Linked DNA regions of Arabidopsis thaliana. The protein of the gene in region 1 interacts with the protein of each later gene in a pairwise test. Each region holds a gene or a part of one and is shown on either strand. Other genes may lie near its edges.

Region 1 (4,793 bases):
TGATCTTTTAAATAAGGTAAGCCCTTCGCTTGTGATGTTAAGAGTCATGGTTAATATGGTGTTAGTTTTTTCATAACACGGGCAATTATTTTTTGATCATTGATATTAAGATGCGTATGGTATATAGTCTTTTAATTTGTTTATATATATGTGTGTGATTTTCACTTTTTAAATGTCTTTTACATAGATATGTAGAAGAATTGAATGCATATTTTTCCTTTTCAAAATCAAATATACCTCTAATTTAAATTTGTAGGGGGGCTCCAAATACTTTTAAATGATTCCGTATGTATGCATGTATATAAACACTAGATATAGTGCACAACTAAGAAGTTCGAGGGTAAACACTAGCTAGTTTCACTTATTTTCATAAAACAATTCCCATGTAAAATGGGTTTGTATTCAACATACTCCACTTTTAGTGTAATACTTATTAATAAATGACAAAAAAAAACTAAAAAACTAAAAAACTTAAGTCATGAATACTAACTCTTATTCCATGGCACAGGACAATGAAGAGATTACAAAACTAGAAGCTCCATCAACAAACAAGACGAACACCTTATTGAGCCAATCACATGCGGTAGTTAATCATGGTGATAATGGTCAGATCAACGGGAAGAAGACGAAGGAAATTCACAGAGTAAAACGAGCTTCAGACAAAAAGGTGTCGTCTAAAAGAGTCTCAAGAACTTGGAAAATCCCTAAGTATCCAAAGAAGCAGCCTAAATCAGATCAAGAACATCCGGGTTTCAATCTTGATTATATGCAGCCCACTACACACCCGCCTCATCATAATTGAACTCTTAATGATCATGTAATAACTCCATGCATAAACAAATTTCATATCGTGGTTTATCAAATATCATAACTCAAGTCACGAAGAATTTCCACTTTTTACTCGTTTGATATATCATGATGTATGGTCAGAAACGACCTAGTTATAATAAGCTTTTATATTTAAAATTAATACATATACGAATTAGATTATAGTGAAACTGTTATCGGTATTAATTGTTCAATACTACTCCGTTGGGTTTCTTGATGTTGCTACCATATCACACTTGCAAGTTGAATGCATATCATCATGATGTACAATATATACTTTACTCCTCTTTATATGCACATGCATGTGTATGATCATTTCGTTGCTAAATTACTATATCAATATGTATTTTTGTTGTTGTTCACAATTGTGTTATAGTATTAGCTAAGGTTAACAAATGTAATTTAAAAAGACTTGCAGGTTAATAGTAATACATGTGGTTTTCTGCTAATCATAAATCTTTTAAGTTAGTCTGTTAATTTTCGTTTCTAATGTTGACAAAACTGATACTAAATATGTATGTATATAATATACATAGTATCTTGAACTTGGTGGACCTTAAAAATAGTAATACAGTACTTGCAAATTTGCAATATTTTCATCCGATTAAAGAATAGTAATACTACCACTAGTCAAATGCATTATTTATAGTTTGTATATATAGATGAGTCCGCGTGCAAAGTCACTGTTAACGATGTCCAAAAAGGACGAAGATCCCGCGTATGGTTCCAATGCAATCAGATGTCCCAAATCCACGTATCTTAAATTTAAAATTGACTTGTACAAAACAATATACTACTAATAATTAATCAAAGACAAAATTGTCTATCTCATTTCTTATCAAAACGTTCTGTTATTTTATTTTCCATAATTTCTTCTTTCTCATATGTCATAACGTAATTTTGTTACATCGAGAGGATAAAATTCAAATTTTGCGGAAAAATATATAAGGCCCGTTTAGATATATTAGTACGTTGAAAAGAGCGAACTTATTAGTATAAGGCCCATTTAGATATAATAGTGGGTCATAAGCCCATAACATATCCTGCAACAGAGAACAAAGAAGCTGCGATCTGGCTAATAAAACTTTCCCGCCGGAAAAAGTTTCTGCAGTTTCCAACTTCTTAAACCTAAGCGAAGCAGATAGTCTTTGATTGGGAGATTGAGAGAGGTTAGTGAAGAATGGAGGGAAATCAAGCTGGATCTTCTCTAGATTCGTTGATTGCTTCTTTCAATAAACGAATCGGCGAATTGCAGGAACTCGTCATCGCCAGAAACAGTGAGTCCTAGTTCTAAACACTCAATACTCAATTCGTTATTCAATATCTTCATTTGATGACCTAATTTCAATTTCCTGCAGTGTATCCTGCAAGTACCATCCCGGATTTATCGGCGATTGACACAGCGTTGAGCTCAATGGAGCTTCAGGTACAATCGATCAAGGACCGATTACGTGAAGAAACCGAAGCTATTCCAAAAGCTAAGGTACGTTTTATTTACTTCCGAGATTTCTGAAATTCAGATTCTAGAAACGTCGTTACACTGTAAGATGATTTGAATTTGAGTAATTTAGGGTTTAGAATCTGGACCTGGGTTTTTGACTTTGAGAGTTTTGTGTGTTGACTGTAGAAACTTATAGAGGCATCACTGAAACAACAAGGGAAGTTGCAGAAGATGTCTATTTATGCACCTTCCCATTTTCCTGACAAGGCTACTATGTTGAATTCAGATTTAAATAGATGGTATTTACATTTACTTGCATCTTCTTTTTTCAATTTCTAGGTATAGCCTTTGATTTTTATTACTACTCCAGAAGTTTGATTAAGATTAGTGGTTTCTCATTCCAGTCTGCTCCAAGAGAATGCCAAGCAGTACGAGCAACATTCTACTCTCAGCTCTTTGAAATTTGATGAGGAAGCAGCTGTTTTACCCAAGGTAGAACTTGCATATACTTTGTTTTCTTCAAAGAGACTTTATGGCCTCTAAGACTCAATGGCGATGAATGATAAACTGTTGCTATTGTGTATTTCTGTTATCTCTGTCTATGGTTGATCTTTGGTTTTGTTTCCAGGAGAAGAAGGGTCGCGGGTCTCCTCCCCTTTGGTACATAACTGTTGAGGAACTCAATTCACTCTCATCGTAAGTACATTTTACTTTCTCTTCTCCTTGTTTATGTGAAATGCATACCGCTTTTCTGACATTTTTCCAAAAAACAAGATACATGAGAGGAAGGCTCACCCTTGAGAAAGTGAATGCTGCTATCAATGACATGGCCTCATATGCTGAAGCAAATGCTCATCTTATTGCAGCCTCAAAACAGAAGGTATATTTACCAGCTGAAGGAATTGAGTTATATAGGCTACAATTGTACTGACGCTTTTGTCTTATATTGCCAAAGCTAGCGGAAAATCTCTGGGAGAAAGCACTTGTAAGCTAATATAACTCATCAACCACACTGTCTAGATGATAGTATCCGTTCACTAGTGAAAACATTGTTATAATCTTTGATTGTCTTGAAACTCTTATATGCAGAAACTACGAGATATCGTAACAGAGCAAGCAGTGAAGGGCAAACATTTCTTTCTTGAAACTGACATGAAGGGACCAAGTTTGAAACTAGACAACACAGGAAAAGCAATACTTACTGTAAGTAACTAATATATCTTCCCTTCATTTCAAAATTTCAACAAAAAAGAAACAACATTTTCATGCTTCCTTAAACTCTTCACCAGAGTTAGACTAACATCGATAACACATGCTTATTGTCAAATTTTGATGTGTCTATTAACAGGTTCTTCGCCACCTTGGTCGTATTAGTGAGACTCGCATTGGACAAAACCGCGTCATCATTCTTATGAAGCCTCACTAGAAACCAACCAACTTGCCTCAAGTAAGTTGTTCATTTTCACAAGCGTAAGGGGTAATTCCGTCATTTTTCAATAGTTTCTTGCTTCTTCTGAGCTCCTTGTACCATAGAATCATAGAAGGTCTACTGGTCCCTTAAACATCATTAAGCCTTAATCTTAATCCTTAAGACCGGCCCGCCTGACAGGCCCAGCTAGGCCCAGGATTTGAATTTATAATATGGACAAAAATGTTTAATGCAATTTTCACATTTGCATAAAAGTAGAAAAACTCGATTTCCGTTATTTTCATAATATTAAAAAAGCAATTTCTCTAAGCAATCTGGTTCAAGTTCCAGTGCACAAATGGCCTGTCCCATTCAAACCTACAAAGTAGCAAAACTCGGTTTCCGTTTTTATTTAGTGACTTTTTACCTCCACATAGTTTTCTTAATACTCCAATACCTTTAAGGATCTTATCTGTGTCACTGTCTATTCGTAAAATCAATAGATAGTAAATTGTAGCTGCCATACATTTATCTTGATACGGACAAGTAAATTTGGCAACATTATTTTCCGAACAGAAGAAGAAAACAAATCTAATAACCAAGCGAAAACGACGATCCTTGCATTATTGTTGTTCATATGTCCTGAAATAAAAATCAAGAGGCACTACGAAATGGGAAGAAGAAAGTGGTCCAGGGAAACAGGAGAGAAAAAAAAAAGACTATTTGCCTCAGAAACATTCACAATTTCACGTTTATCCATAATGTCTGTTCCAATCTCTTTGTCTTCTTTTTTCGTATAACCAATAACCAATTTTAGTCGTCTTTCGTTCGTGCAAAACCCACAAAATACGTTATGCATAAAGACAAAAACACACACTATACAGTCTTATCGCATGCATTTTTTAAAGAAAATTCACATTTATTACCAACCAACTGATATCAAATAATTAATTAACATGTTTACTATTTTGTGAGTTGTGACCTAAATTTTATATACATACAAGAAAGAAACATTCATAAATTTTCTGCAGACCACATTTAGACTTATAGAGTTCTCCATCACTACCATTTTACTTCTTTTATTTTCAAAACGTATCATTTAACTCAGCCAAGAAA
Region 2 (5,759 bases), on another chromosome or scaffold:
AGGAGTAAAAAAGTCTCATACCGAAGCTCCATCGATGGCTCTTTGCCTCAAGATTCCCAACATTCTCTCTGATTAACAAACAAAAAGCAACAGTAATCGCAGGATCAAAAGCCCCGTAGATCTAACAATCATCGGAAATTGAATAGAGAAATCATAAATCCGGAGAAACAGAGTAGATCAACATCGGAGATAGATTTGATTACCTGAGCTTTGTACGATCTAACCACGCCGGCGAAAAAGTGAGAGACGGCGGATTAAGAAGAGAGCAGATACGACTCAAAGCGTGAGCGAAAGGGCACTGTTTTTTTGTTGTTGTTCTAAAACACAACGAAATGATTTCAATTAGCTGAATAAATGAGAGAGTAGGTCTTCTTCATCGAATTGTACAGGAGCCGTCCGATTAATATCTGCTGGTCATGATCGATGGTTGACATTTCGTTATATACTTTTTCTTTTCCAATATTATATTATTCCATTTGATGTTGTTGAAGTTTGTAAAGGAAAGTGGATGTGACCAAATTTAATTTGACGTTATACTTATTTTAATTCAGAGAGATTCGCTTTTTTTAACTAACCGAATCCATAAAGATGCAAACCGAATCATAATCCATATCGGTTTAACTTTTCTTCGGTTCAAATGGTTCGGTTCGGTTTGGTTTAAGATTGCAAAGAATCAGCTGGTCATTATGGCAGATGTTGAAGTAGCTATTCTTCTCCAAATCGGTTGTGAACTTAGTGAATGCAGAATCATTCTCTTGTGAACCTGGAGATTTGCAGAAGCTGCAGCTGAATTAACTATTATCAATTTGCATTTTGTGAGATAAAATGGACTTAGCTCGCAAAAGAGCAGAATCAATATGATGTGATATGTTTCTACATTTTAAAGTGAATTTGGAGTCTAATTGTAGTTTTGTAATCTGAAGTGCTAATTAGTTCAAAACTCTGACAAAGAAAAAAAGAGAGCAAAACACTGAATTCATAGTCTCTCTCTGTTTCATGGTTGAACAGCAGAATCAGTACTGTTAGTTTCTTTCTGTTTTCTTTCAGCTTGAAGGGATCTGCAAAGTGATTCAAGCTTGTCTTTCTGTTTCTTTGTCTTCTCCAACAGTTTCTTCAATCTTTCACGCTGTTCAAGGTCAACCAAAAGTGTGATTTTACTGGTTTCATAACCAAAATCTACAAACCCTTAAAGATAGTGAGAGAACAGACGGTTTTGTTTTACCTCTTCGACGAGTTCTATGAGAGTGATATCCGACTTCTCAGTTTTGTTTTTCAAGAATGCGTTTTCTTTTCTGAGTTCTTTGATTGCTTTTGACATCTACTCAAAAAACCAATAGAGACAGGATCAAGTTAATAAGATCACATAAATAGCACTTATGATCTTTCAAAGAACCTCGAAGGTATAAAACTGTTATTACCTTATCGATTTCTTGTTTGAATGTTTCAAACACCTCATTGCTCTTAACCAACGCGTCCTGCATAACCAAACAGCCTTTCACTTTACAGTCTTTTCATATAATATCAGTAAAAAACATATCTTAAGAGAGTATTGTATCACACCCAAAGCAAGCAATCTTATTATCTGTGATCACAGTGCATCGAGAAAACGATTAAGACTTATTTAGGAAGTGTAAAAGGGGAAGAGAGCAGACCTGGAACTGCTGGAATTTATCTCCATCAGAAGTCAGCTGCAACCGCAAATTTTTCTCAGTAGACAAAAGCTGAGAAACTTGATCTGCGTAAACTTTCATCTGAGATTGTTCATGGATGAGTTTCTCCTCGTGCTGTTTAATTTTTAAAGCAGAGATCTGTAGCTCAAGTGTTTTCTGCTTCAACTGTCCATTCGAAAATGAGATGTTGTCAAGTAGACATCGCAGTTAAGCCAATTATTTTGGCTAAATCATGCTTCATATATAGTTGGAAAAAACGAATAATTTAATTACCCTTTGCTCATGTTGTTGTTCTGAAAGCATAAATTGATCAGCCAGGTGCTTCAACTTCGTCCTTAACCTGGAGATTAAGAAACAAACCCATTGTAATTAGAATGGACCTTTATAATATGTTACTGAGCTGATACAAGCAAAGCCGTTTTAAAAGCAATACACATGTAAGAATATAGTTTCCAGAATGTGGGCGAGCATATTCATACTGTATTAACTTAAACTGCAACAAAACTATACATATATAATAAACATACTATAATTTTCCTACTCCAAATGAACATGTTATGATTGAGTTCTTTCCGCTTACATCTCATTTTCTTTGAGTTGCGTGAGGCTTTCATTCTTTTGCTCGTCCAACTTAATGCTCACATCCTATAAACAAAAGAGGATTAGGAAGGTAGAGAGCATAAGAAAAAAATCAATCAAATAAATTCTGATTTTGTTTTTGTAAGTTTTTGATGTTGCAAAAGCCTGCAAGCAATTCATCAAACTTAGTTCTATCAATCTGTAACTTGAAACCAATATGGACAATTTTCTACTTTGTTTAGTTCCAATTATTTCCAAGGACTAAATTTTAGTGTAGATCGGTACTAACATTTGCCAATGTCAGTGTAGAGAGTTTCAGAAAGAAGAAAAAGATATTGCCATGACTGTCCAAAGCATATAGCACGGAAGATTAAAGGAGATAATATCCTAAGAAAATATAACAAGGATCAATAAATGATGTGCATTTAAGATTTGCATACTTAGAAACACAAAACAAAGCTATTATCCAATACTTGTTCCTCTCTAAAACTGCCAATACCGACGGCAAAATGGCTCAAATTTCTATATTCAGCAAAGATCAAAACCCTGGGAAGAATTCACATCGAAAGAAAAATGTGTTCAACTTACCATTATAGCATCCTGGAACTTTGTCGATAAATCCGATCTTAAAGTCTGTCCCTCAGTTGAAACCCTCTTGCATTCTTCCTGTTATACAAAGGAACATTTAGTTTACACACCAAAAGGTTAGTTCCTCAAAACAAGACACACCAAGTAGAGTAAGCAAGAAGAAAGAAAGAACAAACCATTAACATTTTGTTCTGACGTTGTAACTCTCTACAAAGTGATTCAAGCTTGTCACGAACAGTAATAGCTACGGTTAAAAACAATAATGATGAGTACAGACTATAAAGCATTAAACGATGAAGGTAACACAAAACTAGTTTGGTTTTATTGATATCCTATTACCAGAATCTCTTTCAGAAAGGACTTGCTGATACTTGAGCATAAATTCCAAAAACTCTTTCTCTGATTTGAACATATTCTTTGAACCCTTACGCTTGCTCTCAACCACCTCCTGCTTTCAATATCATCAGCACACAAATCAGATACATCATCTTCAACATATATTCTTCTCAAAGCAACAAGATTGAAGAACTCATCAAAATACTGACTTGTTTTTTGGGTTTGAGTGAATCCATTTCCTTAGACAAGGTTGAATTTTGAGTTGACCCTTCTGACACTAACTCAAACAAAAAGCAAAGAAACAAACTTTAGGTTACAAAAGAAGCAAATTCCTATAAAGAAATTAAGCTTCACATTTTCACTCACATGTTTGAGAAATAGGAGGAGAAGCTTCTTTTTCTTTCTGCTCGAACTCTAACTCAAGCTTGATTGATTCTTGAATTAGGTCAGCTACTTCGTCATCTTCATTACCATCAGTTTCACACAACGGAACCGGAAAAGTTCTTGGCTTCTCTGTTTTCTCGATCGCAACAGTTTCATGGTTTGTTGTTTCTTCCTGGGTCTTGGGAGAATTGAGAGGCGGCTCTGTTGCGCCGTCGACGAATCCATCGGGTAAAGAATCGACTTCAGGGAGCAAATTCGAGTGCGGTGACTCCATTTTTTGAGTCTGGATCTGATGAAACCTAATACGAAGAAAACCCAAATATCTTACAACAATTCTGATAGGTAAGTTTAAATTTGTTCTTTCTTTTAGATTCGTTTGTAAAATTTTATTTGGTATAAAATCTTAACAATAAAACCAAAAAAAAGAAAAAAAAAATCTAATTTTGACTAAATTAAATGTTGTTCGTTGTTATTCAATTAATAACTTTAAGTGTTAATAATTGATTTCTTCATAGAAATGTTGAAATAAAGTGTTATTGGTTTTTTAAATTTGAGTATCATCATTATCACGTGACTTTGAAATTCAATTTTATTTGATTAATAAATGTTTGGAAATGATCAACTAAAGAAATGGTGTTACATTCAAGTTTGATAAATTCTTATTGATGCTTCGTTTACACAGAGAAATGTCAATTCGAACCGAAAGCATATAAAAATTTGGTCTCGCAACTTAGACCAACTTCAATAGTAATTTTTTAGTAGAAACTCATACAATTAAAAAAATATATATATTTAAAAGTTAAAAAAATATATATATGTTTTAGAAACTACATGAATTCTATATGCGGGAGGTACTCTTAGTCATTACTGACAAAGATCTCAAATTGGGCTTAACTCGGATAAACATGATCATAAACAAATTTAGTTTGAAAACCATTTTTTCTTTTTTATAAAACTCAACAAAAAAAAGTTAAAAATTTAAGAGGCCATCATTGATAAAACTTTCAACTAATTAATTTTGTCTAAATAAACTTTCAAATTATCAAATTTGAACTTGGTTATTAATTAACTAATGGTCAACGATAATTTTGTTCTGAATAATATACCGTTTTTGACGACATATTAATATAAACTCTAAAAAATAAATTAAAAATTGTATTTTAGGATTTGTAATTAAGATTTTTATCTTTCCTATTATGACTAACACTTGTGCATTCCGAAAACAAACGGAATTCACAAAGTTCAATTACTTACACCTTTTAGTGTGTTTTTTCTTCTATAATTGCAGTTTCCTATATGTTACTCTAATTTTATTTTCATTGGTTAATGTAACAATAAATTTGACATTTAGACAACACTTTTTTTATTGCACAAGTTCAATTAATTACATCTTTCCACGTGGAAAAAAGTAAATTCGTCAAACACTAACTTAATTATCCTGATCAAAGAAAGCAAAGGTGAAGAAGAAGAGGTTGTACAAATTCTGAAACAAGCGTCTCTTAAAACAAATCAAAGGTCTAAAATCGTAAGGTGGTTTTGATTATTCATCGTGATCCCGTACGTACACCACACCATTCTTACTTCAACAAATCAGTCAATGCAAAGATGGCAAACATATTTTGATCGATCACTGGCTCGATTTCTCTTGCACCAAACGAGAATGAGTGTTTCCCATGCATCCTCCACCTGCATAGCACGGCGCAGTCACATTTGCTAAATACTTCCTCGGCAATGCGATTCCGAACCTCTTTCCTCTTCTTTCTTTTTTCTCCTTTTTGACAATGCTTCCGTCCTATAGAAATACAAATATATCATTGTTAGAGATCCTCATAGATCAAATAATCAATAATGTGAATTAATGTGATTGACCACCTCTTTTATCTCTGTCGTGACGCTTTCGGTTTCCATCGACTTTCTCGCGTCTTCTACATCTTTTTCTGCAATAGTGAATGGATAAATTGTTTCAATAACGAAACTACATAATATAACAAGCATTTCATATATAAACATATATATGTCTCTAACAATGCATGCATCCATATACAAATACAAATAGTAAATGATTTATACATGTATATATGTGTGTTTGTATAAGAACATATGATTTACCTTCATCATCATCATCAGAAGGAACATCGACGCAATAAACCCTAAAGCTTGGAGATCCAGGACCAATCATTCTCTCATCAAAGTTGTTGATAC

Evidence for each region.
Region 2: the proteins of AT3G60660 (region 1) and AT5G50840 interact in a two-hybrid assay, tested with the Arabidopsis thaliana proteins (one large-scale study listed by BioGRID).

What each region holds. Positions count from the first base shown.
Region 1 is NC_003074.8:22,419,473-22,424,265, forward strand, and holds AT3G60660 (spindle/kinetochore-associated-like protein), read left to right. Parts: upstream 1-1,871; 5' UTR 1,872-2,008; coding exon 2,009-2,105; intron 2,106-2,186; coding exon 2,187-2,311; intron 2,312-2,455; coding exon 2,456-2,568; intron 2,569-2,673; coding exon 2,674-2,761; intron 2,762-2,897; coding exon 2,898-2,965; intron 2,966-3,043; coding exon 3,044-3,149; intron 3,150-3,224; coding exon 3,225-3,254; intron 3,255-3,358; coding exon 3,359-3,472; intron 3,473-3,617; coding exon 3,618-3,695; 3' UTR 3,696-4,005; downstream 4,006-4,793. Other genes in the region: AT3G60650 (uncharacterized protein), read left to right, coding at 1-16, 509-802.
Region 2 is NC_003076.8:20,683,975-20,689,733, reverse strand, and holds AT5G50840 (alpha-taxilin-like protein), read right to left. Parts: upstream 3,917-5,759; 5' UTR 3,832-3,916; coding exon 3,540-3,831; intron 3,451-3,539; coding exon 3,383-3,450; intron 3,289-3,382; coding exon 3,177-3,288; intron 3,082-3,176; coding exon 3,014-3,081; intron 2,916-3,013; coding exon 2,838-2,915; intron 2,316-2,837; coding exon 2,251-2,315; intron 2,011-2,250; coding exon 1,944-2,010; intron 1,836-1,943; coding exon 1,653-1,835; intron 1,476-1,652; coding exon 1,419-1,475; intron 1,319-1,418; coding exon 1,223-1,318; intron 1,127-1,222; coding exon 995-1,126; 3' UTR 812-994; downstream 1-811. Other genes in the region: MAB1 (Transketolase family protein), read right to left, coding at 22-63; AT5G50830 (nuclear polyadenylated RNA-binding protein), read right to left, coding at 5,185-5,349, 5,427-5,494, 5,667-5,759.